Linked DNA regions of Daphnia pulex. Each later gene encodes a partner of the first gene's protein in a complex. Links are inferred from orthologs where the notes say so. Each region holds a gene or a part of one and is shown in the gene's direction. Other genes may lie near its edges.

Region 1 (5,557 bases):
ACTCGAAGCGAAACGCTGGGTAACTGGGTTCAGGGAAAGTGGTCCATTTATTTCCCATGGCCTCGAGCTAGACGTGTATACACTAGCCTACTTACGAATTAGACACATGATTTTGTTATAAGCGCTATATACTGTATACCCTGGGTGACACAAGCCACTAGCTCTATATATTGCTCGCTAGATGCGCTTCTAGAATTTTTAGTTACCGGTTATGTCAGGTTATACATTTTGACTGTTATCGATGATTGAAACTATCAAGCCAGAGTTTTATTCCCAGTATCTACAAATGGGTTATTTTTGATTTAGCGACCCTGTATTTTATTTTCTTTTAGATTTATAATATTCCTTTTGGGTAAGATTGTTATGCAATGAGCAACTATACGTATAAGAGTTGATGTGCCAGCCACTCGGCGATATTCTAAGAATCGGGAGTGTTTGATAGAATGAAAGAAAGAAAAGAAAAAAATCCAGCTGTCTTGGACGTTTCATGTCATCATGTTGTAGGTAGAGAAAGTTGATGATTTATTACGCGACTTATTCGTTCGTCAACCGGTTTTTTTCGTTTCTTCCCGCTGGGCTACAAGTCTCCCGACACGCTATAAAAATCGCAAAGGTGTATGTCTATTTACGCCCGTAATGATACTACTCGCAGCAACCAATGTATATGCGCCCAGCATACTTAAACAGCCCGAAAGAAAACGACGATGGTTGCCGACGACGACGACTTTCAGGGTAGGAACTTTTTTTAAAATAAGACCGATGGGGGTGGAGCAGGGAATATTCTTTGTGAGCTAACCGATGATTCCAATTTGGCCGACAGGTGACGGTTTTTTATTTTCTTATTTTTCTGTGTTATCTAGTGGGGGCAAGGTAGCATTTTATGATCGCCAATGAGCGATGTGGCGTTTATATATAGGTCAGATAATGCGCGACACATTTGTCATTTCTGTTTTAGTAGTCTGTACTTTTGCGATCAATTAGAAATTTCTCTATTCATAATTGTTGCAGATTGTTATTGTTATTGTAAAGATTAAAATAGACAGGATAACGTATTAAATCCAGTCACATGGGCGGTCACGGATCATCCTTCATATTTTTTCTCTTTAACTTTCATGGGTTCACTAATTAAAAAAAGTTGTTTTTTATTTTATTTTTATTTTTTGGCTTAGAGGGAGACGGTAGGAAGCTGGAGAATAGTAATTAAACTAATTAGAACTCACACATTGCAAGACGCAAGAGGCAAGAAAAATTAGCCGTGAAGACGAATGGCGAAATTAAATATTCATGATTTTATGTGTTCCTGGAAGAGTTGGTCTTGAAGCGATGGCATACTTGAGATTGTTGGCTGCACAACTTTACTTTCATAAAAGCTCATAAAATGTTTTCTTACTCTTTGATTTTATTATGAAATAAATAACAATGAAAGAATCATAGGTTGAATATGAAATATCTTTTAATAAATCGCAATAACCGAATTAATAGCCTAATATTTAATTCACACATTTTCTTAATCACCTTGAATGTACTAATTGGAATACAAATTGCAGTTTAAAGTGCGATAACCGCAACTTGGGTTATGACTTTTATTCTCTGTTCGTTTGCATTCGACAAGAATATTTAGACTCACTATAGCTTATACTCACCAGTGTAAAATGATCAAATTTAAAATAGCCTATTCGTTCTTTCTTCGGTAGATAATTTCTTTCAATTATCTTGGACTAGTGTATACAACTTTCAAACTAAAATATATGTTTCTATTCTCTCGCACTGTCCATTTCAAAGCGCAATCAAGTATGTTGTATATTCGATCACGGAGTGGAGTGCTGGCCTGGTCGTCAGCTTCTTGATTCCGCCACCAGCGGCCACCATGAGAAAGGGAAACCCGTTTAGAATTTCAAATTGCTGTGCTCTTTTTATTTTTACCGTTTCGCCATCTCTTGTTTAGACAAATCTATGTTATACATGTATAGCAATTCGTACTAGTGATAGAACTCAATTATAGTAAAAGGAGTTAGTGGACGGACATTGTCCCCCCACAAGACATCGCCTTAAGTACCAATCTAGTTGTTATAACTTTCTCGATTTCGTAGAATTGTTTGATTTTGAATCCAGTTACAAGTGGTAATACATATTCCGATCGAATCAGACCAACTAGTACAAAAAGAGGTTTCCCAGTTTCTGCTTTGTTTCAGAGGGCGATTATATACTTGGCCAGGCATTCCGGTGATTTCGTACTTATTAAAATTCCAAACATTCCGAATCACTTCTCACGGGGCGTTATGAAAAATACCACATTATTCCGCGTCTGAAAGTTACACAGATAGACGTCCTGATTTGCAAATTCCTATAAATCTAGAAAGGCAAGAAAATAATAATAATAATAATATTAGGGAATTCATACTGAAACAAATTTGAGATTTGAGCATTGAGATATGCAATCAGGGTTACATTTGAGGAGGAGTAAAAAGCTAAATGAAAAAATGTTGGCCAATCAAACTATTTCCTGTTAAAAGCTTATTAAAGGGATTGTGCAACAACAAATTTGATCAGTTATTTTTTTTAAGGCCATTAAATTTCCATGCCATTTCGATTTTTGGGGGGTTTTATTAAAGAAAAATGCGTTGACGAACTGATGGTTGCGTAAACTTATCTAATAAAACAAAAGAACGCGCTCTGGCGCGATTTATAGCAGACGATAGACTTGAAGACCTTTTCAGTTGTGTGACGTTGTCGATTGAAAGAAGAAACGATTACTTGTTTTATTAAAGCCGGCCAATATTTAGAACTACATTCTCTTGAATAGGTTTTTCTAGTACGTTGAAGCAGAATTTTTAAAACTGAAAACCATGGAGTCAAAGAAAAAGGAGAAAGAAAAAGAGAAAGACAAGGAGAAAGACAAAGATGTCATCGTTTATGAAAGGGAAATGGAAATGTCTTCAGCTAGTCGGGGTGTTTGGTTGGTGAAAGTACCAAAATACATTTCAAGTCGATGGGATAAATGCCCTGGAAATATTACAGCTGGACAACTGAATATTACTAGGTATGCATCAATTGGTTTATGTTAACAAATCGACAAATCCTTTATTAACTCATTACAACTCTTGTTCAGGGTGCAAGGACAAAAGTCTCAAGTCAAACTTATTCTGTCGGAAGCTATTATGTGTCTCCAGGAAAAAGGAGAGGAACCTATTCCTAAAGAGCATGGATTGATTGTTTCACACATTACTTCACAAACATTGGGTGTATTTTCTCAACAAACCAGTACGTACTACTTGACAGTTATGGGGAAGATTTTTATTTTAGGCCTGAGCTTAAAGCATGATATTTAAAGTGGCGTGCTTGCAATTAATCTAATTTAATATTGACATTTTTGTATTGTTTCCCCAGCTCCAGCCACCGCGAACTCACCTATGGAAACTGAGAAGATCATATTTGAAGGCAAAGTTGCCCAGAAGCTTGAATGTAGACCAACAGGTGAGACCAACAAAATAAAGTTCCTAAGCTTGAAGTGAGCATTAATGATTTTTATTTTCATCAGCAAATGCAAGTTACATGAAACTCAAAAGGGATTCTTTGATTAAAGCTGCCCAACCTACAAGAATTGTGAAGCAATTGGATCGAGTGGTTCAAAGTTACAAACCCATCTCTGACCACAAGCATAATGTAAATATAGCAATTCTCGTCTATTTTTGGTACATCATAACCTTTTATTCCTGATTACAGAAAGAATTCGACGAAAAGAAGAAAGCTGAGGGTAAGAAAGCCAGAGATGATAAGGGCAAAGTTATGGACATGCTGTTTGCAGCTTTTGAAAAGCATCAGTACTACAACATCAAGGACTTGGTAAAACTCACCAACCAACCTGTGGTAAGAAAAAGTTGTTTTCATACAAGCATTTGCACTTTTAAAACCCTCTGCTTTTATAGACCTACCTCAAGGAAATTTTGAAGGATGTTTGTGTATACAATTTGAAGAATCCTCACAAAAACATGTGGGAACTGAAACCGGAATACCGCCACTACAAAGATGAAGACAAGGACTAATAAGTAAACAGTCCATTAACTTTCTAATAAAGCTGTGATTTTCAGAAAACTACTAAACAGCTCTTGGATGCACATAACTTCAGATAACTCAAATGGGTTTCAACTGCCCTTGAAATTGTTCGATAAAATGTTCTCTTAGGCTACAATTTTCCCTTCGTCTAAAAATTCCCGTGCTAACAAGTGTGTGGTCCAATACATCGATGCGAACTTGAAAATTTTACCAATATAATTTATCCCAACCATATCAGGAAGAAATGATTTCATGAGCGAGTTCAGTGCGAAAAGTAGGCTTATGTGCTAACGAGGAACCCCTTTTAAACAGAATCGTAAGATTGTAAAAACAAGAATCAAGTAAAAGGTTACATGTTAATATTTACAGCTTTTCATGGTACCCTACTTACAGTTAACATTATATTATCTCAGTCAAAAGCCATAATCTATTAGAATAGCAACAGCCTGTCTCTTGATGAGATTCATCATCCAACCATGATTCAACCAACAATTTAACGCTGAATATAGTTATCTACAAATTAATTTGTTTTAATTTTCACTAGTTACAATTTGCCAGAATGTAATTTTAAAAATTGTTTATTTGTCAATATAGATACTATAAAATACACCAAACAGAATTATTTCACCAGGAAATCTGCAACTTCAGGTAGCGATGTGAGGGTTCCTGTACAACAACAGAATAAGAATTAGCATTTCAACATCATAGAAAACCATTTAAAGCACACTTCAACAAATTATCCACAGTGTGCCTCAGTGCCTTCAACATCAATTACTTTATGTTACTACTATCAAATGTTTTAATTCGGTTCAATCCATGTGTTCCAAATAAGGAGACAACGGTAGATCAGAATAAATTTTAATTTAGCATGTCCGCTTGGCCACTATAAGCTAAGTAGAGCTAGTGTGGTTCAAAGGAATGCAAAATTCAGTCTTAGTTGCATGAATTAAATAAGATATTTACCGAAACGAATACAAAACTGGCTAGCAGCAATCAAACCAGATGGGGGAGCTTCACATGCTTCAAATGGCGTTTTACAGTCCTACTTATAACATTTGATTTCGTCCAACGCTGTTGAATTTCGGACTTCCTGTCGGAGTTGACAGATGGAAAATCTACAATAAAACTTTTGAAATCTTTTAAACAAATATGAACCAATTAAACTTGTTTATAATTTATTATTTCTATAATGATAGTTGAAAAAATTTTAAAAAGCAAACTGAAATAAATTATGTGGGAAGATGAATTCCGAAAGAGGGGGTTGAGAAGGAGGCAATGCTGGGCTTGTCAACTTCGTCTACAGAAAAAGTACTGTGTATTCCTTCTTCCTCTCGTAGACCGGTCTTAAAATACGTGAAATGGCTACGGCTCAGATCTCGAAAAAACGAAAGGCAAGTAATTCTTTCAACACGTGAATCTTTTTCATCTTGTTCTCACATATTCACCGTTTGAATATTGAGGTGTTATTGATGAAATAGAACAGTTTCTAACCAGGATGTGAAAG
Region 2 (4,898 bases), on another chromosome or scaffold:
CTGCTGTAAATGAGTCATCCTTAAAAGGTAATAGATTAAATTCTTTTTCACATAGCAAGCAAGAGCGGTACCCTTTGCATCCACAAGGACGTGGTTTACCTGACATCGTTTATAGTTTGTTAACAAAACGTTTACTTCCGAACTTTTTTAACTGTCAACAAAAGTCAACGCAAACGAAATTAAGGAACACATGACAAAAAAATCGTCTGCTGACTGGTTGAAGTTTCCAGCGTTGAAGTTTTTTGATTTTGTGTTACATTCTTCTTTTTCTAATAATAAATTGCGATCTAATAAGATGATTCATTACACAAATTTTTTTCCTTTTTTATTTTTTTGTCTTTTTAAATTCAAAATTCATGAAATAACAAGAGCGTTTTGGGTCGTACACACCCATAAGATTGCAGCGCCGCCACTACGGTTTTCGGTCGTGGACTTGATATTTGATAACTGTCACTCTGTTTTTTGATTATTTTTATCTTCTTCAAACTCTTGTTTATATTATCTTCATATAATGTCTGCTGAGTCAATTAAAAATCCTGGCGGGGTAACGGTTATTTGTTTTCTTAATTTTTTCGTGCGATTTGTTTACTGTCTAAATGAAACACGAATGATACTTAAACATGTACTCTCTTATTGAAACAGTTTACCAACCCGGAAATGCCGGGATACGTAGGGTTCGCGAATTTGCCTAACCAAGTTCACAGAAAATCTGTTAAAAAAGGGTTTGAGTTTACTCTGATGGTTGTCGGTAATGACAAAGCAATTGTATTTCATGTCATCAACTCTAAAGATTTTTATTTTGAATCCATTAGGAGAAACTGGGCTTGGCAAGTCAACACTAGTCAATAGTTTATTCTTGACTGATCTTTATCCTGAACGAAATATTCCATCAGCTGGAGGTTGGTGCTTAGAATTTAGCTAGAAAATGCTTCAACGGTCATAATAGAATAATTTTTTCACAGAACGCACAAAGCAGACAGTCAAAATTGATGCTTCTACTGTGGAAATTGAAGAAAGGGGAGTCAAGCTCCGCCTTACAGTGGTTGATACACCTGGATTTGGAGATGCTATTGATAATACAGATTGGTAATGAAAAAAAATCACTTTTTAAGGCCCATTTTTGATTTAATTTTAAATTGTCTTAATTTTGTTTAGCTTCAGATCAATAATTCAGTATATTGATGACCAATTTGAGCGTTTCCTGCGCGATGAGAGTGGGTTAAACCGCCGTAACATAGTCGATAACCGGGTCCATTGCTGTTTCTACTTCATTTCTCCATATGGACATGGGTATGATAGATTCCACTCGTGATTCAACTAGATTTCACAGAATGTATTGGCTAATCTTTTCCTAAATAGGCTTAAACCCCTTGATACGCAATTTATGAAAATGCTGCATCACAAAGTCAACATCGTGCCTGTAATCGCTAAAGCAGATATGCTAACAAAGAAAGAAATTGCTCGGTTGAAGAAAAGGGTAAAATTGTGACCAACATTTAGATTTATTATAAACTTGTTTAACTAAAAAATTATTAGGTCATGGAAGAAATTGAGGCAAACGGAATTCGTATTTACCCACTTCCCGATTGCGATTCGGATGAAGACGAAGACTACAAAGAGCAAGTTCGTCAGCTTAAAGACGCAGTGTATGTAATAATTCATTCAGACTAATAACAATTATAATTCATTCATAATAATAATAATAATATAATTCATTTATTCAGACCTTTTGCTGTATGTGGGGCCAATACGTTGATTGAAGTTAAGGGCCGAAAGGTCCGCGGACGGCAGTATCCATGGGGTGTCGTTGAAGTTGAAAATCCTGAACACTGCGATTTCATTAAACTCCGAACGATGCTGATGTAACTTGTTTGACTCGTCAAAGATCGAAAATCTTGCATTGCACTAACGTTTAATTCTTTCATTATTTAGTCAACAGCTACAAGATTTACAGGAAGTAACACAAGATGTTCACTATGAGAACTACCGATCAGAACGTCTTGCTAAAGGTGTAGCTTCGAATCGAAAAACCGCTGGGCCAACTAATTCCACCGCGCCATCGGCTGCTCCGGAGCAGATTAGTGAGAAAGAAAAAATACTTCAGGTTAGTAACTATTGTGTTATTAATAGACAATGGAAATAGTGTTTCGACCGTTTGCATCATTGTTTTGTTCTCACAGGAAAAAGAGGCGGAGCTACGACGTATGCAACAGATGTTGGCTCAAATGCAAGCACAAATGCAACAACAACAACCTCAATAGCACTGTGCGTCGTCTTTAACAGCAATTTTCAGTTGTCACTTAAACCAAAAGGAATTCTTCTCTACTGTTTTGACTGTTTATTCAGCTTTGATTGCTGTTTCAACACCCTTGGCACTCTTACCTTCCAATGTGAAGATCTTAGGTTTCCTCGATAAAATCCCATTCAAGTGCCAACATTTAACAAATTCGCTGTGCTTCATTATTTGGTCACTTCACTAGTAATTTTCCTCATTTGCGTACATTCGAATTTTTCTTCCATGTAGGGCAATTAAAGCCCAGATGCGCCTCGAATATCCTACCCAATCATTTTCTTTTTAGTGTCTCGGACTCTCGGTACTGGTCGCAGTATTTCAATATACAATTTTTTCAGACTCTTGCTTCCTTTTTCCCATTAAAAGATTTAATTTTTCTTAGTTTTCTTGAAGTGAAACCAAACCTTTATGAATGGAAGTCTTGTAAATTTTTATATAATGCGCCAACAAACTCCTTTCCCGCTCAATTTAAGACGCCACCTACCGACGCCAATCAAAAGCTGGAAGTGCTGAAAGAAGATGCCAAAAATCCAAAATGGTGATCAGACGATCAGTTACTTACTTACTTTTTACCAATGGGGCAAGATGGTAAACGTAACTAAAGGAATTCTGGTAATAATTTACGGTAAAACTTATAAATGCCACTTGATTTATTATATCTTTGTATTTGAAGTATGGTATTTTAACTTACTTCAATCACTAGTGAAATTGACTGTGCTGGTAAAAGTTTCTTGTCAGAAAGAAAGCACAAAATATTCGATCGGACTATCCCGTGGAAATAGTCATAGATTTAGAAATTAATAAGTATCTCAGGTGGCAACTTATAATGGTTTACCTTTTCTTTACATGGTGCTTAATTGTTAAATTTATACTTGAATTTGTATTATTACCCAAAGGTTGAATGTGATGCTGCTATGAAACAATTGCTTCTTCATTTAGACGAGACACATGCTCTAGGCAACAAATTCATAGTTCAAGATTTGGATGAAACTCACGTTTTCATTGTAAAATTTAAAAAATACTTCTATTTTCTCATATTTTGTATTTTTATCTTTTTGACATTTTCTCTGTTAGGCACCTGAATATCTGGAAGTTTTGCAGTCTAGAATTGATGATTTGATGGACAGGATCAGTTTTCCTTTGGCAGAAAGAGAAATCGAGTAAATTATCTATCATCATGAATTCATCTCAGAGAGAGTCAGCCCGTCAGAAGGATGCCAATTCCAGAAGGGTTTTGGATGAGGCAGCTCGTAGGAGAAGAGCAAGGAAAGCATTGGAAGCACTTGAGCAAGATAATTTTCATGATGACCCTCATGCCAATTTAGGTATTTTTGTAAGTTGGCTAGTTTTCAGATCTTTCATTAATTCTGGATATTTATGCAGTACTAAGCAAAAAGATCCCCAAGTTTGAAGAGTCTCTTGATGGTAAACAAACAAGAAGAAGGAAATCTAAAAATTTCGAAATTTTCAAACAACGGTATTTTGTTTAATATTAATTGCTGAAACGAAGTGTAATTCTATTGAAGTAATTTCTCCTCTTTTACAGGTTTCGAAAATCCTTTGCACAGCTGTTGGAGGAAGAACAGGTTAATCGCCCAGAGCCCCCAAATTATGTTTCAGCTCAAGTTCCACCATCTAAGTTTCCCGAACGTCATTTTTGTGCTGTTTGTGGATTTACTTGTAGTTACACCTGTTTATCTTGTGGCGCAAGGTACTGTAGCGTCAAATGCTTAGGTACTCATCAAGACACGCGTTGCTTGAAGTGGACCGCCTAATAATATTCCATTGCTTTCTTACTTGTCATCTCATCAATAAACCCTTTTCGATTATACTTTTTCTTATTAAATGAACAAATAAATCAGCGCTCCTCTAACTATGATTAAAGTGTATTAAAATGCTCATATAAAAATCCTTTTGATTTTGGGCAAATTATAAATATGGAGCAACAGCACAAATTACATGAAGCTCGGTAGTCCTAGAAAATTTCATTTGCTGAAGCCTGAAGGCTTGATTATTAAGGAGGTAGGGGGCAATGCACGTGTTGGGGAAGAGGGTTGAAAAGACAGTCACAACAAATACTTAGAAAATGACACGAGGCGACGAAATACATAAGCCTATAAATGACCTTGATAGTACGTCTGAATAACGCTAAAGAAACTCGACCCCTTTTTATCAGATCGAATGGTTTCTCCTTTTCTTCCCATCCTTCTTGCACTTGCGTCCCATTTGTCGCATTTCAGGCGCATTTATTTTAGTATATATATTCGTCGAGATCTCGTTTCTTCATTCAGTCATCGTGTTCCGTCGTCTTGAGTGGATCTCTCCAGAGTTCCAGCGTCTACGGTATACAATTAGCGTGAGTCTGTTTTATTTTAAATACAATAAGGTAATAGAAATTGATTGATGTTTAATTAAGCTGTGTATAAATAAGTTGTATTAGAGTACTTTGTTTTAGTTTCTGGAGTTGCAATTAGAGTTAAATAACTGAGAATTTATTAAATAAGAAATTGTTTCACTTTGGAGTGTTGATAAGTGAGAAATTAGTCATAAAAGTTAACAGTATGCTATTTATTCGTATTTATTACGATGTTTATTTTTTAAGTGA
Region 3 (6,095 bases), on another chromosome or scaffold:
AGTGGATGCACGAGGTTTTCATATCGTCGGCTACTTTAGCAAAGAGAAAGAAAGCTCGGAGGACTACAATGTCGCCTGCATCTTAACATTACCACCCTATCAACGGAAAGGATATGGAAAACTTCTTATTGAATTCAGTGCGTACAGAATCGTAAACCCAAGGGGAAATATTTTTTTAAAACCATTTTTGTTTACGTAAAGGTTACGAGCTGTCCAAGTTCGAAGGCAAAACGGGCTCGCCAGAAAAACCTCTGTCCGATTTAGGGTTGCTGTCTTATCGCAGTTACTGGGCTTTTACAATCTGTGATATTCTGATGAATATGAAACCATCCAGTGAAGGTGAACGTCCTCAAATTACCATCAAGTAAGTGATGTAAATTACTTCATTCTAGAGCTCACGTTGACAAACGAATTCGTTTTAATTTAAATAGCGAAATTTGCGAAATGACGAGCATTAAAAAAGAGGACGTGGTGTCCACCTTACAGCATTTGAACCTCATCAATTACTACAAGGGGCAGTACGTACTCATTCTGAACGAAGAAGCGATGAAAAATTGCATAAAAAACAAAGAGAAATGGAAATTACACATCGATCCCAAATGCTTGCACTGGACACCGAAAGACTGGTCCAAAAGAGGGAAATGGTGATGAGATCGCACCTACAATCCATTCCGCGATCTTGCTACTTCTTTGCTTTTTTTTAAAAAATACACTCACAATTTCTATGTACAAGAATTCCAAATTCAAATGTCCTGTTTCTCTTGGTTATTCTTGTCTGTTACGACAACAGCTTCACGGTTCTCGTATGTCCAAAATCCATCCAAATCAATCAAGATATTGATCACAGTTTCACCGTATCCACTGAGCCAGAAAACGTTCAATGACAATCTTATTCTAAAAAAATTCTAAATGAACTTTGTGTGTTACCAGTTAATCAAATCATGTAAAGTGATTTTTGACGGATCGGCAGGACGCACCATATCGAAAATCTCATCATTGACGTCGTCAAAAGCAACGACTTCTTGTTTGTGCTGCTGCATCAACTCTTGAACCCCCTGCAAAGCATTTTTTTTTTTTTCAAGATAAGAAAGTCAAAAGGTCAAATGAGGAAATTAATACTTTGAAGTAAAAATGGAGGTCAAAAGTGTTGAGATGGTTTCGATGATTGACGTCCAACAAACGGAAAAAATACTGAAGTGCTTGTGGTTCCTTTTTATTGTCCATGGCCAATACGAAATCCAAGTACGTTTTATAATCCATTTCTTTCTCATAGGTCATGCACTCCTCGAATACTCGTTGAATGAAAACTCGCGTCAACGTGCCAGTTCCGAATCTGAAAATTAAATTTAAAAAAAATCTTAAATGTACGTACTGCAAATTGAAATATGGTAAATTACCGTCTGAGCTCTTCCTGACAAAGCATGCCGTTTCTGTTGGTATCTAAATTTAAGTATTGACCGTAGACTCTCAGAGCGGAGGGCGCAGAAAACCAGTTTGAATCCTGTGCATCTTTGGGCAGCTCTTCATCCCGTAGCTGATGAATTATAATATTTTTAGCGAGAAGAATGACAAAAGAATCAGGAATATACTAAATACCTCTAAAAGTTCGTCCAGAAAACCAGAAGCGAGAATATCCTGTATCCTGACTTTGCCTAGCTTTAATGGATCTAGGAAAAAGAGGAACTTGCGTACGGCGGTACAGACGTAAAACGAATGGAATGACTTTTCAAGCCCTTCTAACTGTGGCAATGTTGGGATAAGTTCAGTTATGTAGTTCTCTAAATCCTGGGAAAAACAAAAATAGATAAGTAAATTACATATTGCAAAAACAAAAAACATATTGCTGATGTTCACCATTTCAGTAAGCAGACCTTGTCCTGTGGCATCATATAATGAAAGACCAATTCTAGTTTGCTGTAACCAAACTTTCCTCATGATGTAATTGAACACTGCCATGGTTGATATTCTGCCATGAATATCATTCTGCAATAGCCTTGCAAATACATCTGGTGTAAAGAATGCTCTGTATAGGGGAATTCAAAAAATAACTTGGTGTTCCCAATCAAATATTTACATGTCTTACTTATATTTTGGACCAGCTATGTTGCCTACTTTGAGAAAATCAATATAATTGATCATCTGCTCAGAACCAGCAGGAGGGCTGTGATTTTTGTCAAGTAAAGTCCAGAGATTCTAAAGACAGGATGAAAATCTTATTTACCAGTAGCACAAACACTGGCAATGACATTAACAAACCTGCAGTTCATTGTTATCGAGGAGTTCTTTGCTCTTCTTCTGAAGGAATGCTGTTCTAGCTTCTTCTCTCAGTTTAAGGCTAATCATGTTTTCATGATTAGGAAGCTGTGTAACAAAAACATAAGAAATTTATAGGGAATCAATTGGAAGTTATGCTTACTTTGGTATAGAACTTTGGAACTGGCATGCTTTCTTCCGAGCATTGCTTGCTATATTTGAGACCTTCGGAATACAACTTTTGGAAGGTATCTTCATCTTCGGCGTTTAAAACCAAAATCTCGGATTTTTCATCCATCTCGTTGATGAAAATCAACGAATACTGAGACTTAGGCCGCTAATAAAAACGTTTCTTGTTCATTCGATTCAAACGTGTCGAAACGATAACAAACGGCTTTACTTTTAGCAGAAAGAATGTTTTTTTCGACCGCTAGATGCTATGCTTAGCCAAAATCACGCTTCGTGGCGCTGCCATCGGGGGCATTTCGATATATATTGCCGCGTCAGTCTTAGTTTTCATGTCGGCTTCCTGTTGAACGAAGCCCTCCCGGAATTGAAATCAAATAAAATTCAATTTCGTTAAAGAATGGCCGCCAATCAGGCACTCGTGGTATTTATTTACCTTTTACTTTATGATAATATTTCATGGGGAATAGTACCTGGAAACTGTTGTTGCATTGACGATTCCACTCCACGAGCTCGATCTCACTCCTCGTTGGTCTAATTAAGGACTTTTATATTTCTTTTTTTGTAGTCGAAACTGTATCGTGGCGTTATTGAAGATGTTATCAACGGGGTTCGAGAGGCGTTTCTTGACGAAGGAATCGATGAGGCTGTACTTCTCGAATTGAAGCAGAATTGGGAAAACAAATTGCAGTCCAGCAAAGCAATCGACCCTGTGACCGATCCTGCTGAAACTTCTCTCCAAAGCAAACTGCAACAAAGTATCCAATATCGATTATGAGACTTTATCATGTATGAAAAAAGGGTCTTCTTTGCCGTCAAAAGCAGGTCAGCAGGCTAGCTCTACAGCTCCTGCGAACAATTCTACACCTCAACAGGCAGCCACTACGGCAAAGCAACCAGGTAGTTGGGTATACTGTTACATTGAGTGCATTATTATTAATTGTTTTGTTTGTTTGTTTTTATTTTCTCTAAAGCAGCAGCAGCAGCCCAAACCCCAGTGACTACCCCTAATGCAGCTACAGGTGCAGCAACAACAGCAGCAGCTGCAGCCCCTGCTACGACAACAGTAAGGACGGTGCCAGTCCAAATCACTGTTCCTCCTCAGGCTGGAGTAGCAGGTCATACAGCAGCCAAGAGCATCACTGTTCACGTTCCAGCTCATGCTCTTCAAGGTTATTTCCCAATTGAATCTCGTTCGTACTAGCTCCAATCTAATTTCTTTACTATTTGTAATAATGTCACAGGTGGCGCAGCGGGAGCGCAGCTGCAAACGATCCTGAGTTCACCGGCTGTGACGGCGGCTCTCTCTCTTCCAGTTGAAATGGCCACGACTGTCTTGCAGCAGCACATTAATAACGCGTTGCAGGTACCATTGGTTGAAATTGAATCCACTCGAAAGTGTATATAATAATGTGTGTACAATGCATTATTACTTTTCTTTGTAGTCGACAGCTGCACGGAGCCAATCGCGAACTGACAATGGAGGAGTCACACAGTTGGATGGACCCGGAGACTCTTCGGACGACGACGACGATGTTGAAGATGATGACGATGACGACGTGGAAGAAGAGGACGATCATGACGACGAGGAGATTGACGCAGACAACGAAGAGAACGCAGACGAGGAGCCACTCAACTCTGAAGACGATGTGACTGATGATGATCCCTCAGTGTTATTTGAAACTGATAACGTCGTCGTGTGCCAGTACGACAAGGCAAGGATTTGAATTTTAGCATTCGAATTGGAATTGAAATGTTTTAAATGACTTTTTTTTCTATTTGTAGATTACGAGAAGTCGAAACAGGTGGAAGTTTCATCTCAAGGACGGCATCATGAACATTAACGGTCGCGATTACGTCTTTCAAAAGGCCAACGGTGATGCAGAGTGGTGAAAATATTCAAGGTTGAAATTGCGCTACTAGGGGAAAATCAAGATAATGTTTCATTTAATACAATCCGGAGGAATTTCGCTTTCAATTTAAGGATTTTTCGTGTGCCTGTGCGTGTGCATGTGCGGAATTTCTTTTTTCATGTCGGGTGTTGGATGAGCGGTGGAGAGGAAAAAATACCTGGGGACAAAGAAACAAAAGCCATTCGTGTTTGTCCTCCCTCGCTTCTTTTGTTTCGTTTCTCTTTTTTTGTTAACACACAAAACTTTCCGAATTCTTTTTTTGTCTCATCTTTTCCCTGTTCGCTGCAGAAGCTGTTGTCGCCCCCTTTTGATTCAGGAATATTTAGAAGAAGAAGAAAAATATATGTTCAAATTACCAAGAATTGCAATTAGTTTTCGAGAAGATTCTAATAACGTGACCCAAAACTAGTCCAAGACCCAGGGGACAATGTTACTAATTACGGTACCGAAAAATTCTTGTAATCGTATACAGTTGGTGGTGGACATTTTCAATGTTAGTCGGAAGAAATCTAGATTAGGTTGTATACATGGGAAGTCATTCAGGCGAGCGTACGGGGACTTGAAAGCAAATAACCAAGTGGTCAAAAGCTTACATCCGTTTGCAGTCATCACCGGGGAATTGCTCATCCAACTATTGGATTCGGTACACGTTAATGGAGTTTCTACACGATAGCAGCGCGGTAGGAGTTGTTGGCGTCCGCCAAAAAGTTTCCTAGAGCCGTTAAAAGGCAACCAGCACAAAACTAAACGAACTTTGCTGTTGCCAGGACCTTAGGATTCGACCTGCTGGACTCATTATCAAAACTAAAAAAAAAACGAGGGGAAAAGTTTCAACAAGGACGGACTGGGGCGTTCTTCCATCTGCTTATCATGAAAATAAATTCAAAAATTTCTTTTTGAAATGGTTGATGTCACAGGGGAGGACATGTTTCATGTGAATGATATGACATGAACTAGTGAAATGTTTACAGTATATTCAGGATGGCTTTTAATCGCGTGTCACAACATCCGTTCCTAATGAGCGCTCCCAGTCGTTGGGGGGCTGCTGCTGCTGCCTGTAGCTAGCCGGATGGATGGTTCCATGTTTTTCAAGTGGTGACGACAAAAGACGGCCAACCAGTCACGCACATGCTTAAAACACATGCCGAAATGTAACTTTGTTCACGTATACCCCAGCAATTGGAAGGACCCTGTAAACTATAAAAATCATGGAAATAATTTGGTTAAAATAATGACTATTATTTAATGTGATGATGGAAGAACCTAAGTCATTAATTAGAACAAGTAGACCTACTCACCAGTTTTACAAAAAACCATTTCACGTCGCTATGGTGATCGTCCGTGCGTGTATAATTAGACAATTAATTGCCTTTGATTCCATGAAATCTAAATCAGGTCATATAGTTCCGATTTGACACGAAAAGTTGAGTCAATTATATCGCACGAAAAAATGGTTTTAAAAACATACAATCAGTCAAGTTACAGTGGCAACTTTGGTCGAAAGTTCGCATCTCTTAAATGTGAAACTTTAAAAGTGAAAAGTCCAATTAATCTTATAATTAAATGATTCCACCATGTCACACTTAGAATTCACCCTTTATTCGTCGAGCCATTGTTTAAGTGCATGTTAAAAACAACAGCAGTATCCTATAAGCACATGAGAAAACAACACAACTTTTTTGAAGGGCGTAATAGCTTTTAGTCATTTTCGGGAGAACGAATCTAAATATTTTCACTGGATGG
Region 4 (6,325 bases), on another chromosome or scaffold:
TACAGCGAATAATGCTGCACAATAGAAATTATTCGGTACTTTAACTGAACATAAGTTTCTATGTTTTCCGATTTCGCCCAGTAAAAATAACATAGCGAATAAGAAAAATGTGCGGAACCTGTTCTTTCTCTCTTGAATCGAAGACGCCGAAAAATTTTGAGAACATGTAAACCAGTTTGCTGTTTATGCGCTTCGTTTTTAGATGTATCTAAAATCGTGATGTTGCTTATTCTCCACCCTGTGGACAACTTGTTGATGATCAAGCTTGATAATTTTTTTTTTCAAGGATGACTTGCTGGCGAAGACTTCTGGAATTTGCCAGTTACGGAAAAGGTGTGACCAGTCGCAGACCCGACCTATAAAAACCCGCCATCCGACACATCTTCCTCAGTCGAACGCAGATATTGCTCAGTACAACCACTTATTACTCGCAATATCCAGTAATTTTCAAACTGAAAATGTCATTCATTATCCTGCTCTGTCTTGTTGCCTTCGCTTCGGCTGCTCCCCGTAAGTTAAATCATTAAAATATTATTAGAACATAAAATCTAGCTGTTTAATTGAAATTGGCTTTTCATTTTTTAAATTTTGACAGAACGAGCTGCCGTTCCAGTCCTTCAATTAGACCCCGTTTGCCTATTGCCTCCAGTTGCTGATTCTACACAAAACTGCAATAACTACTCCGTCAAGTACTATTTCGATCCGGTCGATGGCGACTGCGAAGATTTCCTTTATTCCGGATGCGGCGCCACTGAAAATGTTTTCAACTCCGAATTGGCCTGCGAACTCCGCTGCGAAAATGTCCACGATCAATTGAACAGTCACGAGAGCATCGAGGTCTTCGGGCGCTATTGGGATTAATTGCAACGCACATCTTTTTTCATGCTCTGTTTCAATCGTGCAATAATTTTTTTTCAGTTTGATGTGTTTGTTGAATTTCAATCCAGGTTATACTGTACCAACTTATTATTGTTGACATTTTTCTCAATCCGCAGTTATCTTTTTTTGTTAACTTCCCATGTAATCCGATATAAATACAGTTGAAGTTTGATTAGAATACATTTTTTCAGTTTTAATATAATCAAGTTGGTTTACAATTAAAATTTAATTTAATTCAATAAATGAATCAAATCAATATAAATTATACAAATAAAACGGAAAACATAAAATTCGAAGCCAATTCGAATTCTCTCTATAATTCCGAGCTTATGTTTAAGTAAGTACATTTGAAATTCTGATATAAAGAGCCCGGAGCTAAATAAATAATTGTGCAATCATGTCGTGCATATATTTTTCAAAGGAAGACAATGATCAAGATGATGAACTGTACAAACCGGTTATCGATATGTGTGTGTTTAATTCTTTTGCGATGCGCGCTTTTCTCTTTTCTCTTCCTTTAGGGGTGAATGATTAAGCGGTTATTTTTATTTTGGTTACATCGCGAAAGGTCAAATTCATGTTTTTTCCAGCTATAATGCCCGATTGCAGGGCTGTAATTATCTCTAGCGGGACTATAAGTACCAGCCGGTCGACTCCTTCCTTCTTCAGTCGAAAGCAGAAGAAGGTTTTTCCCATTTGCTCCATTCAACTCCATAAACTTCAACCGGAAAATGTCGGCTACGTTCGTCGTTATGCTCTGCCTCGTCGCTTTCTCCTCTGCTGCTCCTCGTAAGTGATTTTTTAAATCTAAAATTTTAGTTTTATGTAACATGGGCTTTTTCAAGCAATGCTCTTTTACGATTTATGAATATATTTGAATAGAATTGGCGGTCCCAGTACCGGTATTTGCTCAACGACCATTGGATCCGGTTTGTCTCTTGCCACCACTCAACCCCAAAGTGCGTTGCAATCAATTTTCCATCAAGTGGTACTACGACTCTGCTACCAGGGATTGTGAAAAGATTTTCTACACTGGCTGTGGAGGATCTGAAAATCTATTCGCCAGCGAAGACCTTTGCGAATTGCGCTGTGATCAAGATAATTTCGACAGCTACGAGAGCGTTGAGGACTTCCAGCAATATCCCTCGTTGCAGAAATTCAGATATTTCGTTCTTGGCAAGTAATCAATTGATGTAAAATGCTTTTCTCTAGCACAACGTTGTTATTCTTTTATTTTAAAAAGTAATTTAAAGAATTGTTCTTACATTGATCACATGGATTGTCTTTCAATGTAATCTATATTATTCAGTTAAAATTAATTTTGAATACACTTCTTATTTACTCACACAATACGAGTTGTTTCGTGTTTTAAAGAAAATATTTTTTTACCGACTTTTAAATAAACCGGCGAAATTAAAATATATCCGGCAACGCCACCTTGCGTCTCATTTTCGATTTGGCCGGCAGATGTCGAAATTGAGTTTTTCCGACAAGTGCGACAACAGTGAACGAAAGTCGACTGCCGGCTGCAAAGGCCAACGAATCTTTACATTGCAGTCGTTTTCTAATTCATAATTAATTTGTCGATTCGTATAATAACACAATGTACGATCAAGACGAAGGTAACATCAAAATATGATGATATTCATACATTTTTTTCTCATTCTAACGTGTCTTTTACTTAAGATCCGATCGAGGATGAAGATGGCGAGGAAATCTCTTCAGAGCTTTGGCAAGAAGCCTGTTGGATTGTCATCAACGCATATTTCGATGAAAAAGGTCTTGTGCGACAACAGCTTGATTCGTTTGATGAATTTATTCAGATGTCTGTACAAAGAATTGTTGAAGATTCACCTGCCATTGACCTTCAGGCAGAAGCCCAGCATTCTTCGGGGGAAGTAGAAAACCCTCCGAGATATGTCCTAAAATTTGAGCAGATTTACCTCTCGAAACCTACACATTGGGAGAAAGATGGTGCTCCGACAGCCATGATGCCTAATGAAGCAAGACTAAGAAATCTCACCTACTCTGCCCCGTTGTATGTTGATATCACGAAAACTGTGCACAAAGAAGGGGAAGAGCAGGTCGAGACACAGCATCAGAAAACATTCATTGGCAAAATTCCTATCATGTTGAGATCCACTTATTGCCTGCTGAATGGAATGAATGATCGTGATTTGTGTGAATTGAATGAATGCCCTCTCGATCCTGGTGGATATTTTATCATCAACGGCTCAGAAAAAGTATTGATTGCTCAAGAGAAGATGGCCACAAATACAGTGTATGTCTTCAGCATGAAGGACGGCAAATTCGCTTACAAGACAGAAATTCGTTCCTGCTTGGAACACTCGTCACGTCCAACCTCCACCTTGTACGTCAACATGTTGGCACGTGGTGGTCAGGGCATCAAGAAATCCGCCATCGGCCAGCGTATCATTGCCATTCTGCCCTACATTAAGCAAGAAATTCCCATTATGATTGTGTTCCGAGCCTTAGGTTTCGTGGCCGATCGAGATATTCTCGAGCACATCATCTACGACTTTGAAGACCCCGAAATGATGGAAATGGTGAAACCTTCGCTGGACGAAGCCTTCGTCATCCAGGAGCAGAATGTTGCCTTGAATTTCATCGGTGCTCGCGGTGCCAGGCCTGGTGTCACCAAAGAGAAGCGTATCAAGTACGCCCGTGAGATTCTCCAAAAGGAAATGTTGCCTCACGTTGGTGTGTCCGACTTTTGCGAGACGAAGAAAGCCTATTTCCTCGGCTACATGGTCCATCGCTTGCTGCTGGCTGCCTTGGGACGCCGTGAGCTGGACGATCGTGATCACTACGGCAACAAACGTCTGGATCTCGCCGGACCGTTGATGGCTTTCCTCTTCCGAGCCCTTTTCAAAACTCTCATGAAAGAAGTCCGAATGTACGCACAGAAATTCATCGATCGAGGAAAAGATTTCAATTTGGAACTGGCCATTAAGACCCGCATCATCACCGACGGACTCCGTTACTCGTTGGCCACAGGAAATTGGGGAGACCAGAAAAAAGCCCATCAGGCCCGCGCTGGTGTCTCTCAGGTGTTGAACCGATTGACTTTCGCTTCGACCTTGTCACATTTGCGTCGCCTCAATTCGCCCATTGGTCGTGACGGTAAACTGGCCAAACCTCGTCAGCTCCAGTAAGTCATTGATTTCAAATTATTTTCATCGGCTTTTGTTTATTACATAACATTTTTTAAAACTATTTTAGCAACACGCTGTGGGGAATGGTTTGTCCAGCCGAAACGCCCGAAGGAGCTGCTGTCGGTCTCGTCAAGAATTTGGCTTTGATGGCCTACATTTCAGTCGGTTCCCAACCGTCGCCCATCCTCGAGTTTTTGGAAGAGTGGTCCATGGAGAACTTGGAAGAAATCGCTCCGTCTGCCATTGCGGATGCCACCAAGATTTTCGTCAACGGTTGCTGGGTGGGTATCCATCGCGACCCGGAGCAGTTGATGGCCACCCTGCGCAAACTGCGTCGTCAGATGGACATTATCGTGTCTGAAGTATCGATGGTGCGCGACATCCAGGACCGTGAAATTCGAATTTACACGGACGCCGGCCGTATTTGTCGTCCATTGTTGATCGTCGAGAACTGCAAATTGTTGCTGAAGAAGCGCCACGTTGACATGCTCAAACAGCGCGAGTACATCAATTTCAGCTGGCAGGAACTGGTGGCCACTGGTGTAGTCGAGTACATTGACACTTTGGAGGAGGAGACGGCCATGATTGCCATGTCGCCCGAGGACTTGCGCCAGGTAAATTTTCTGCATTGATTTTTTCTTTCCCTACCCCACCCCATCCAGCCGTTGAATGTTTTGCTTTGTTTATCCAGGGTAAAGACGCCTACTGTACGACGTACACGCATTGCGAGATTCATCCGGCCATGATTTTGGGAGTTTGCGCCTCGATTATTCCGTTTCCCGATCACAACCAGTCGCCTCGTAACACTTACCAAAGCGCCATGGGTAAACAAGCCATGGGAGTGTACATTACTAACTTCCACGTCCGGATGGACACTCTGGCCCACGTCCTGCAGTACCCTCAGAAACCTTTGGTCACGACACGCTCCATGGAGTACCTGCGCTTCAGAGAGTTGCCCGCCGGCATCAATTCGATTGTTGCCATTCTCAGCTACACCGGATACAACCAGGAGGATTCCGTCATCATAAACGCTTCCGCCGTCGAACGAGGATTCTTCCGCTCCGTCTTTTTCCGATCCTACAAAGATCAAGAGTCTAAACGATCGGCCGATCAGGAGGAAACGTTCGAGAAGCCTTTCCGCGATCATTGCCAGGTAACCGATCAGAATTCCGGAATTTTTTAACTTCTTCGGTAATCACATTTTGTTTTCGTCTAGGGAATGAGAAATGCCATTTACGACAAGTTAGACGACGACGGCATCATTGCACCTGGACTTCGTGTGTCTGGCGATGACGTGGTTATTGGCAAAACGATCACTCTTCCGGAGAACGACGACGACCTGGAGAGCACCACTAAAAAGTTCTCGAAACGGGACGCCTCCACTTTCCTGCGTCACTCGGAGACGGGCATTGTGGACCAGGTGATGCTGACGTTGAACGCCGAAGGCAACAAGTTTTGCAAGATTCGCGTCCGCTCGGTCCGCATCCCGCAGATTGGCGACAAATTCGCCTCCCGTCACGGTCAGAAGGGTACGTGTGGAATTCAGTACCGCCAGGAGGATATGCCGTTCACTTGCGAGGGCCTGACTCCCGACATCATCATTAACCCGCACGCCATTCCGTCTCGTATGACAATTGGTCACTTGATCGAATGCCTTCAGGGCAAAGTGTCGGCCAACAAGGGCGAAATCGGCGACGCCACTCCGTTCAACGACGCCGTCAACGTCCAAAAGATCTCGAACCTCTTGCAAGAGTACGGCTATCACCTGAGAGGCAACGAAGTGCTCTACAACGGCCACACTGGTCGCAAGCTCAGCGCTCAAGTCTTTCTCGGCCCGACCTACTACCAGCGTCTCAAGCACATGGTGGACGACAAGATCCACTCTCGAGCCCGAGGTCCGGTCCAGATCCTCGTCCGCCAGCCCATGGAAGGTCGTGCCCGCGACGGCGGTCTCCGATTCGGAGAGATGGAACGAGATTGTCAAATCGCCCACGGAGCGGCTCAGTTCCTGCGCGAGCGTCTCTTTGAAGTTTCCGATCCTTACCGCATCCACGTTTGCAACCTCTGCGGAATCATCGCCGTGGCCAATTTGCGCAACAACACGTTCGAGTGCAAGGGCTGCAAGAACAAGACGCAAATCTCCCAAGTTCGGCTCCCCTACGCTGCAAAGCTCCTATTCCAGGAGCTCATGTCGATGAACATTGCACCCCGTTTGATGGTCATCTAATCTCCCCATTTTCTTTTCTTCTTCTTCTTTTTTTCTCCCGGGG
Region 5 (6,430 bases), on another chromosome or scaffold:
AAAATTTCCACAACCACCTGTTTTGCCTAATTAAAGAAAACAGGATTTTCTTTTAGTTGAATCCAACAGGGAAGAGATGAAACAAAGTAAAAACTTGTAGAAACAAACTCCTGACCTAGCAGACACAGTCAAATAAACAAGTCCACAAGCTCAGAACTACACGAAGCAACTCACAATGCCGACGGACCGTCACGTACAGATAACACATACGTCGTATCCTTTCCCTTCATATGGCTGGCGGGGATTCTAGCTCGGCACATTTCGGGCTGTGGTGACACGCAACGCTACCTATCGGACCTATCGAGAACAAGTGAATGAACTTTGTATTCGTAAACACGCACGGGGAAATTTGGGAAACTGTTGCACTATTGCATGTTGTACCGATAACACACACACAAGGAAATCATTTAATAATAAAAAAACAAACATTTTTGATTAAATTTCAAGGTAAACAGAAGAGGCGCATACATTTTTCTTTATGTGGAAGGATATGGGTAAATATCCTCGAGCGTCCTTGGAGCCAGCGGCCTATCTGATGGAATTTAATAGCTTGACTGCCTCGTGTTTGGCCTATGATATCAATGTAAAACCATTTTTATCAAACAATAAAATGTAGAAAAGGTTAATGCGTTATATGTCACCTCCAAATCTTCTGACGAGGCGATAGCATAATCTCGAGCTCTGGTCAAATAAGCGATAGCTTTTTCTTTATTGTTGAGCCGCAAATATGTTTTCCCCAGCATCAATAAATTCGTACTGAAACGAAACCATTCAAAATGCACAATTATTTAGAAAAATGAAAAATTAAACCAAGCCGTACCTGTAAAAATTCGGCTCAACTTCTTCCGCTCTTAGGAAATACTGCAGTGCCTCTTCGTAAGAAGATACGGGCGGTGTAGCAAACAAGGTTGAGGCAATTTGCCTCTGAAGCCACGGCAATTCAGCAACAGAAAAGCACCTAAAGTTGCACGAAAATGTGTTACGTTACATACAAAAGAAAAGTTGTTATCTTGTCATACCAGTAGCCTAGCAAATGAAATGAAGTTGCATCCTTTGGGTTGAGTTCACACGCTCTTTCTATGTGTTTCTTGACGACAAACGATTGAGAAATGCGCTCCTTTAAGCCCTCGTAGGACGCCTTTTTATCTAACAAAATAAACATCCACTTGTGAGCAGCAAAGTTTTCCGGATCAATGAGCAGCGCCCCTTCAACATAACCGTATGCTTCAAAATCTAATTCTTTTTGTTCAATTGGACTGGACGATAATTTCGCTACTTCATACGTCGCTCGTGCCAGTCGCCAAAGAATTTCGGCATTATCTTCGGCCTAAAAAAAGTTTTTCCAACATTAAAACAGAGACTGACAAATCAGTTTATTCTTATTACCTTGTAGGGCAACAGAAGACTTCTCAATTTGGTGTAGGAATGCTCATTGTACAAGACATCAGCTTCAGAAATAAGATTGGTCTTATTTTCTCTTTCTTCATCAACTTTTACACTAGCAGAGACTGCAGGTAACAAACCCAGCATCCATCCTGCAGATTAACAAGTTATTGATTGTTTTTGTTACATGAATTCAAAAATTAGGCAACTTACCAATGTTTCTTGAAACTAGAGCTGGTTTCTTAGGAACAACATTCAGGAATCTTTTCCTGTACACAACAAATGCATGGTAAACTATTCCATATATTTTTCTCCCAGAGAACGATAACACCATGACGAACGCTTTCCACAACAGAAAGAAAATAAATGACGAAAAACGAATTAGGCAGTTGAGAATAGATAGGTAATCTAATTCCATGGCGACCAAAATTGGAACTAACGAACTTCAATAGTTGAAAAATGAATAATCATTTACTTTACTTGTAATATTACTTAACAATTTAGACCTCTTTATAAAAAAACTTTTTGATTGGCCATTTTTGGATATTTTAATAAGGTAAGTGAGAAATAGCCTTTCACAATTTATCATGTGGTTCAAGGCGGGAAGTCGACAGTGCAGTCTCGACGTGAAAAGAAAAGAACTGAAGCAGACGAAAACTGAACTGGGTCGTCGTCGACTATTTTTCTTCAGTATCGGGTCGGGTATAAAATTCGTTGGCGCTGTTTAAAGTGTCCCAATATTTTTTGGCATAGAAATTTCGATCACCACCCCTTAATTTTGGCCTATAATTTAGTAACGTGCATAGTTGGGTTAGTTATTTACCATTCGTGACGAACTTGTGACGAACACATCGGTGGTGTGTCTCGATCATTGTGTCGCCGGTGAGAAGTTGTTTTGTCAATCGTTTTTCACCGTCACATCATAATGTCTGCTGTTAACAAGGTACAATTTTTTTGTCTTCTCAATCAGTTAATTCAATATTAATACATGTGTTTCTCAAGACTCCTACTGGTGGATCAACTCCTGCTGCTACCAGGGTAAAGACATTTTGGTTTTTAATTAATTAGTTCAACATAATAATATGTGTTACATTAGACTCCAGCTGCTGGTGGATCAGCTCCTGCCGCTGCTGCTTCTAATGTTCAGACTATTGACATTCGAGTCCCCAAGTAAGAATATCAGACATTACCATCTAGATTTTTGCCTTCTTAAACCGAGTTTATAATGTTGTCACAGGAACATAAACAAAAAGCTTGCCATCATGAGATTCAATGGCTCAATGGGTATTGACTTTGTACAATGGAAAGATCCAAAAATGGAAAGGGAAAACAACCAAGTCACATTCAAAGGGTTCAATGAAGATATGCCAAAGTTTGGTGCTGGGAGTGAATATGGCAGAGAGGCTCGTGAGGAAGCTAGACGGAAGAAGTATGGCATAATAAGCAAAAAGTATAATCCTGAAAACCAGCCTTGGATTTTACAACATGGGGGAAAAAGTGGGAAAAAGTTCAGAGGTATACTAAAGTTGGAAACCAAGCTAAGATAGCAATAAGAAAGTTTAGTAATGTGCAATTATATTTATTTTATTAAACAGGAGTAAGAGATGGTGGCATTAATGAAAATGCATCGTACTACGTTTTTACGCAAGCACCAGATGGTGTGTTTGATGCCTTTCCTGTGCAAGAACAATACAGTTTTCAAGCAGTTCAAAATTACAAACCACTGAGTATTGAAGAAGCAGAGGAAGGGTACAACATGAGGAACAAAACATACAACATGTTCAATGTCATGATGAGAAAGAGACTAAGGAAAGACGATGAAGACGCCGAAGAAGAGGGCGAGGAAGAAGGTGAAGGCAAAGGAAAGAAAGGCAAGAAAAAGAAGGGAGCTAAAGGTAGGCAACAAGCAAAAGTTCCACCATAAATAATGTCACAAAATTATAACAACTTTTGCATTCAGATTCTCGTTTTGGTGATGAATTGGACGATATGATGGCATCTTCCGATGACGATTCTAGCGACGGCAATGATGATAACGACGACGATGATGGAGAAAGTAAGAAAAAGAAGAAGAAAGGCAAGAAACCTGTTAAGCCGAAGAAGAAGCGAAAGAATGCGTCCGATGATGAAGCTATCGAAGATAGCGATGATGGTGATGGTGAAGGCAGAGAGTTGGATTACATTTCCTCTTCCGACGATGACGAAAGGTATGTCATTAATCTTGATGCATTTGTCGATTTTCTAACACACCCGCGTTGTTCTTTAATCTAGTGATTTCGAGAAAGAAGAAGCAAAGGACGGACTAAAGGGTGTTGCCGAAGAGGATGCTCTCCGCAAGTTGCTTAACTCGGACGAAGAAGATGAAGACGAAGAAAAGGAGGAAGAAGAAGACAAAGACAAAGAAGAGGAAGATGCTGAAGGTGCCGAAGACCAGCAAGGTGATAAGGCTTCCAAAGACGAAAAAGGCGACAAAAAGAAGAAGAAAGAAAAAAAGAAGAACAAGGATAAAAAGCCCCGCAACGAGGATTATGGTAATATCCATTTAAAAACATCGTGTGTTTGAGTCAAATAATAACGAAACATTTATCAGGATCGTCAAGCGACAGCGGTGCCGAGAGCTCAGCATCCGAACTGGAGAAAGCTAAACCGAGCCCAAAAATGAAACCGTAAGTGCAGTAATTTGGTTTCCTGACAGTTAACTGACAAACTATTTCTAGGGGGAGTGCCAACAGTTCTAGATCAGCTACTCCGACGAAACCTGAAACATCGCCGCCTAAAACAACGCTATCAGATAGCAAGCGAAAGGGAACACCTGCAGTGTCCGATGCTCTTACTGGCCAAGCAACAAAGAAACCTCGATTGGACATGGCATCCGCTGCTTCAGCTGCCTCTGCCGCTTCAGCTGCATCATCATCTAGGTATTTATAAATAATGAACTAAAATTAATCCTGAAACGTTATGTATATTTTTTCTTTTACAGTGCCAATGAAGGAGTCAATGAAGAGTCTGTTAGACGTTATTTATCCCGCAAGCCAATGACAACGACCGAATTGCTTCAGAAGTTCAAAAGCAAGAAAACTGGTTTGTCGTCGGACCAGCTTGTCCATCACATTGCACAAATTTTGAAGAAGATCAACCCCGTGAAGCAGACAATTAAAGGGAAGATGTATTTGTCGATTAAGGCTTAGCGACAATAACGATGATTGGTGTGTTCTGTTTGTGCTGCAATCACTATTGCTACTTTACTGAAATTATCTCAGGCCTTCCCTTTACGGTTTATAAAAACGGACTAGAACGGTTGTTAAAATGCGTGATTTTCGGAACGATTAAACAAATTTGCAGTTGTAAGTTTTGGTATTATTTCAACAAGTTATCTGTTATTGGAAACACTTCACATTTTTAGATGAAAAACAGCCATTGAACTGACAAGTTAACATTTCTTGGTGGTGAGCAAGGTGCTGGATATTCGTTCAGAATACTATAGAGAGAAAACTTGAAGTCGCTTTGACATGTCTGCTTCGTCGTCTGTGCAAGCCCTTTTCGCGTTTTCAATCAAGAATTCAATATCTTTCTGATAATCGGCGGAATATTCGGCGACACTTTCGACGGAGAATTTCTGGACTCGGAAAATAAACATTAAAAGTGTATCAAAAACTACAAACATAAAGTAACCTACATTAGCAGCTTCTTTCATATAATTTGCAGCAGCTTTCCAGGATGGAGCAAATCCAAATGATACAGTCTTATTCATGACCATTGTCTCAATACTAAGAATTGGATACTTTAGTTTCAGCACAAATTTTATCATAACATGCAAACCTTCTTTGAATATCATATGTGACAGAAATCAAGAGTTCATCAACTTGTGGACATAGATATATAAAGTGAGGTCCATCATTGGTATTGACAAATTTAGTTAGCCTAATTAACACAAAGTTGAAATTCTGCAGTTAAAGAAGTATGCATGAATCAAACACTCACCAATTAATTTTCTCCTCATCGTAGGCTTCATCTTCTGTCCAGTGCTGAAAGTAACATTTAAAGTCGATAAGCAGGAATGTGGCTTGGGATGCTGGGAAATAGCAAGAGAATGGCACCAAGCTTTCTGAGTCTGACCAAATGGATTCAATATTAGTTAACATACCTTAGTATCGGTAAGTGATTATATTATTATTCATTCTTTAGCTCACTATCTTACAATGTATTTGAAAAGATCGTTCGAGTCTTTCTATAAGTACGTCGTTATTCAATTCATTGTGAAAAATGGCAATGGGTTTATTTTTCCACATATGATTTTCCTTGATAAGAAGCATTTCTGACAAAAATGACGAGAACTAAAAAAGAAAGATTCAAAATTTCAAATCTTGAATGTCAAGACTCAAGAGCTCGGTCTGTATAGCTGTCTCACTCGCGCTCTGTTATTAATCTAAAAATTCCAGCAGATGTCTCTAGTGAACGGTTGTCGTCTGCACTTGTTCAGTTGTTTGTTTTTTATCAAAGTCGTCTACTCTATACTTTCTCTTCCCAGAATCTATTTGACAGAATTGGAATTTCCAAAGGAATTGTGCAATTAGCAGAATTTCAAGGGAATTTCCGATTAATGTAGAAATGGAATCTTTAGCTGATTCTACGTGTAATCTTGCAATTAAAGAAGTACAAGCAAGTTTAGACGACGAAGATGCCGATATAATTTTGAAAACAAACGATGGGACGTTGAAAGCTCACAAATTCGTTCTCAGGGGTTGCCCATATTTTGCAGCAATCGTCGATGGAAACTGGAGAGAAAGTCAAGCCTCGATCATCACCTTGGATATGTATGATACATATAGCACTACTAACAATTTACTAGATTACAAATTACTTTAAATTTCAGATTCTCGTACAAGTCAGTAAGATTTGTCGTTGAGCATATCTACAAACCAAAGGAATCAATTGACAGTACCCAAAATTTAGGAGAACTTGTTGCATTAGTAGATATGCTTGATCTACAGTCTCTTTTAAAACTGGTTTGTTCAACCATTATTCTTAAAATTTGCCACAATTTTCA

Evidence for each region.
Region 2: general transcription factor IIF subunit 2-like (region 1) and general transcription factor IIH subunit 5-like share a complex: the UniProt entries of both Homo sapiens proteins name them as parts of the TBP-based Pol II pre-initiation complex. The link is inferred for Daphnia pulex from reciprocal best matches to the Homo sapiens genes GTF2F2 and GTF2H5.
Region 3: general transcription factor IIF subunit 2-like (region 1) and transcription initiation factor IIA subunit 1-like share a complex: the UniProt entries of both Homo sapiens proteins name them as parts of the TBP-based Pol II pre-initiation complex. The link is inferred for Daphnia pulex from reciprocal best matches to the Homo sapiens genes GTF2F2 and GTF2A1.
Region 4: general transcription factor IIF subunit 2-like (region 1) and DNA-directed RNA polymerase II subunit RPB2 share a complex: the UniProt entries of both Homo sapiens proteins name them as parts of the TBP-based Pol II pre-initiation complex. The link is inferred for Daphnia pulex from reciprocal best matches to the Homo sapiens genes GTF2F2 and POLR2B.
Region 5: general transcription factor IIF subunit 2-like (region 1) and general transcription factor IIF subunit 1-like share a complex: the UniProt entries of both Homo sapiens proteins name them as parts of the TBP-based Pol II pre-initiation complex. The link is inferred for Daphnia pulex from reciprocal best matches to the Homo sapiens genes GTF2F2 and GTF2F1.

The regions. Positions count from the first base shown.
Region 1 is NC_060025.1:404,727-410,283, forward strand, and holds general transcription factor IIF subunit 2-like, read left to right. Parts: upstream 1-2,692; 5' UTR 2,693-2,846; coding exon 2,847-3,040; intron 3,041-3,109; coding exon 3,110-3,261; intron 3,262-3,387; coding exon 3,388-3,474; intron 3,475-3,538; coding exon 3,539-3,663; intron 3,664-3,723; coding exon 3,724-3,867; intron 3,868-3,926; coding exon 3,927-4,043; 3' UTR 4,044-4,258; downstream 4,259-5,557. Other genes in the region: 40S ribosomal protein S3-A-like, read left to right, coding at 5,412-5,444. UniProt on the Homo sapiens protein: TFIIF is a general transcription initiation factor that binds to RNA polymerase II and helps to recruit it to the initiation complex in collaboration with TFIIB.
Region 2 is NC_060021.1:7,406,448-7,411,345, forward strand, and holds general transcription factor IIH subunit 5-like, read left to right. Parts: upstream 1-2,803; 5' UTR 2,804-2,812; coding exon 2,813-2,905; intron 2,906-3,189; coding exon 3,190-3,297; intron 3,298-3,367; coding exon 3,368-3,457; 3' UTR 3,458-3,485; downstream 3,486-4,898. Other genes in the region: alpha-ketoglutarate-dependent dioxygenase alkB homolog 4-like, read right to left, coding at 1-106; septin-1-like, read left to right, coding at 512-544, 643-748, 813-899, 963-1,086, 1,156-1,290, 1,360-1,477, 1,537-1,646, 1,725-1,862 and 4 more. UniProt on the Homo sapiens protein: Component of the general transcription and DNA repair factor IIH (TFIIH) core complex, which is involved in general and transcription-coupled nucleotide excision repair (NER) of damaged DNA and, when complexed to CAK, in RNA transcription by RNA polymerase II.
Region 3 is NC_060018.1:12,588,974-12,595,068, forward strand, and holds transcription initiation factor IIA subunit 1-like, read left to right. Parts: upstream 1-2,716; 5' UTR 2,717-2,839; coding exon 2,840-2,863; intron 2,864-3,007; coding exon 3,008-3,197; intron 3,198-3,240; coding exon 3,241-3,339; intron 3,340-3,410; coding exon 3,411-3,611; intron 3,612-3,683; coding exon 3,684-3,805; intron 3,806-3,884; coding exon 3,885-4,154; intron 4,155-4,224; coding exon 4,225-4,332; 3' UTR 4,333-4,714; downstream 4,715-6,095. Other genes in the region: histone acetyltransferase Tip60-like, read left to right, coding at 1-137, 202-364, 432-648; serine/threonine-protein phosphatase 2A regulatory subunit B'' subunit gamma-like, read right to left, coding at 744-861, 928-1,055, 1,120-1,333, 1,398-1,534, 1,597-1,785, 1,855-2,023, 2,084-2,193, 2,257-2,361 and 1 more. UniProt on the Homo sapiens protein: TFIIA is a component of the transcription machinery of RNA polymerase II and plays an important role in transcriptional activation. TFIIA in a complex with TBP mediates transcriptional activity.
Region 4 is NC_060022.1:1,080,079-1,086,403, forward strand, and holds the start of DNA-directed RNA polymerase II subunit RPB2, read left to right. Parts: upstream 1-2,331; 5' UTR 2,332-2,482; coding exon 2,483-2,501; intron 2,502-2,565; coding exon 2,566-4,051; intron 4,052-4,122; coding exon 4,123-4,669; intron 4,670-4,746; coding exon 4,747-5,208; intron 5,209-5,271; coding exon 5,272-6,282; 3' UTR 6,283-6,325. Other genes in the region: kunitz-type protease inhibitor 1-like, read left to right, coding at 1,611-1,668, 1,762-2,063. UniProt on the Homo sapiens protein: Catalytic core component of RNA polymerase II (Pol II), a DNA-dependent RNA polymerase which synthesizes mRNA precursors and many functional non-coding RNAs using the four ribonucleoside triphosphates as substrates.
Region 5 is NC_060018.1:348,765-355,194, reverse strand, and holds general transcription factor IIF subunit 1-like, read left to right. Parts: upstream 1-1,999; 5' UTR 2,000-2,308; coding exon 2,309-2,326; intron 2,327-2,385; coding exon 2,386-2,421; intron 2,422-2,479; coding exon 2,480-2,553; intron 2,554-2,620; coding exon 2,621-2,898; intron 2,899-2,978; coding exon 2,979-3,278; intron 3,279-3,343; coding exon 3,344-3,590; intron 3,591-3,654; coding exon 3,655-3,914; intron 3,915-3,973; coding exon 3,974-4,049; intron 4,050-4,100; coding exon 4,101-4,301; intron 4,302-4,363; coding exon 4,364-4,571; 3' UTR 4,572-4,731; downstream 4,732-6,430. Other genes in the region: regulator of microtubule dynamics protein 1-like, read right to left, coding at 529-570, 642-756, 821-958, 1,020-1,327, 1,387-1,535, 1,597-1,826, 1,890-1,972; uncharacterized protein LOC124188758, read right to left, coding at 4,862-4,999, 5,060-5,150, 5,203-5,304, 5,365-5,494, 5,582-5,696; uncharacterized protein LOC124188749, read left to right, coding at 5,992-6,197, 6,257-6,430. UniProt on the Homo sapiens protein: TFIIF is a general transcription initiation factor that binds to RNA polymerase II and helps to recruit it to the initiation complex in collaboration with TFIIB. It promotes transcription elongation.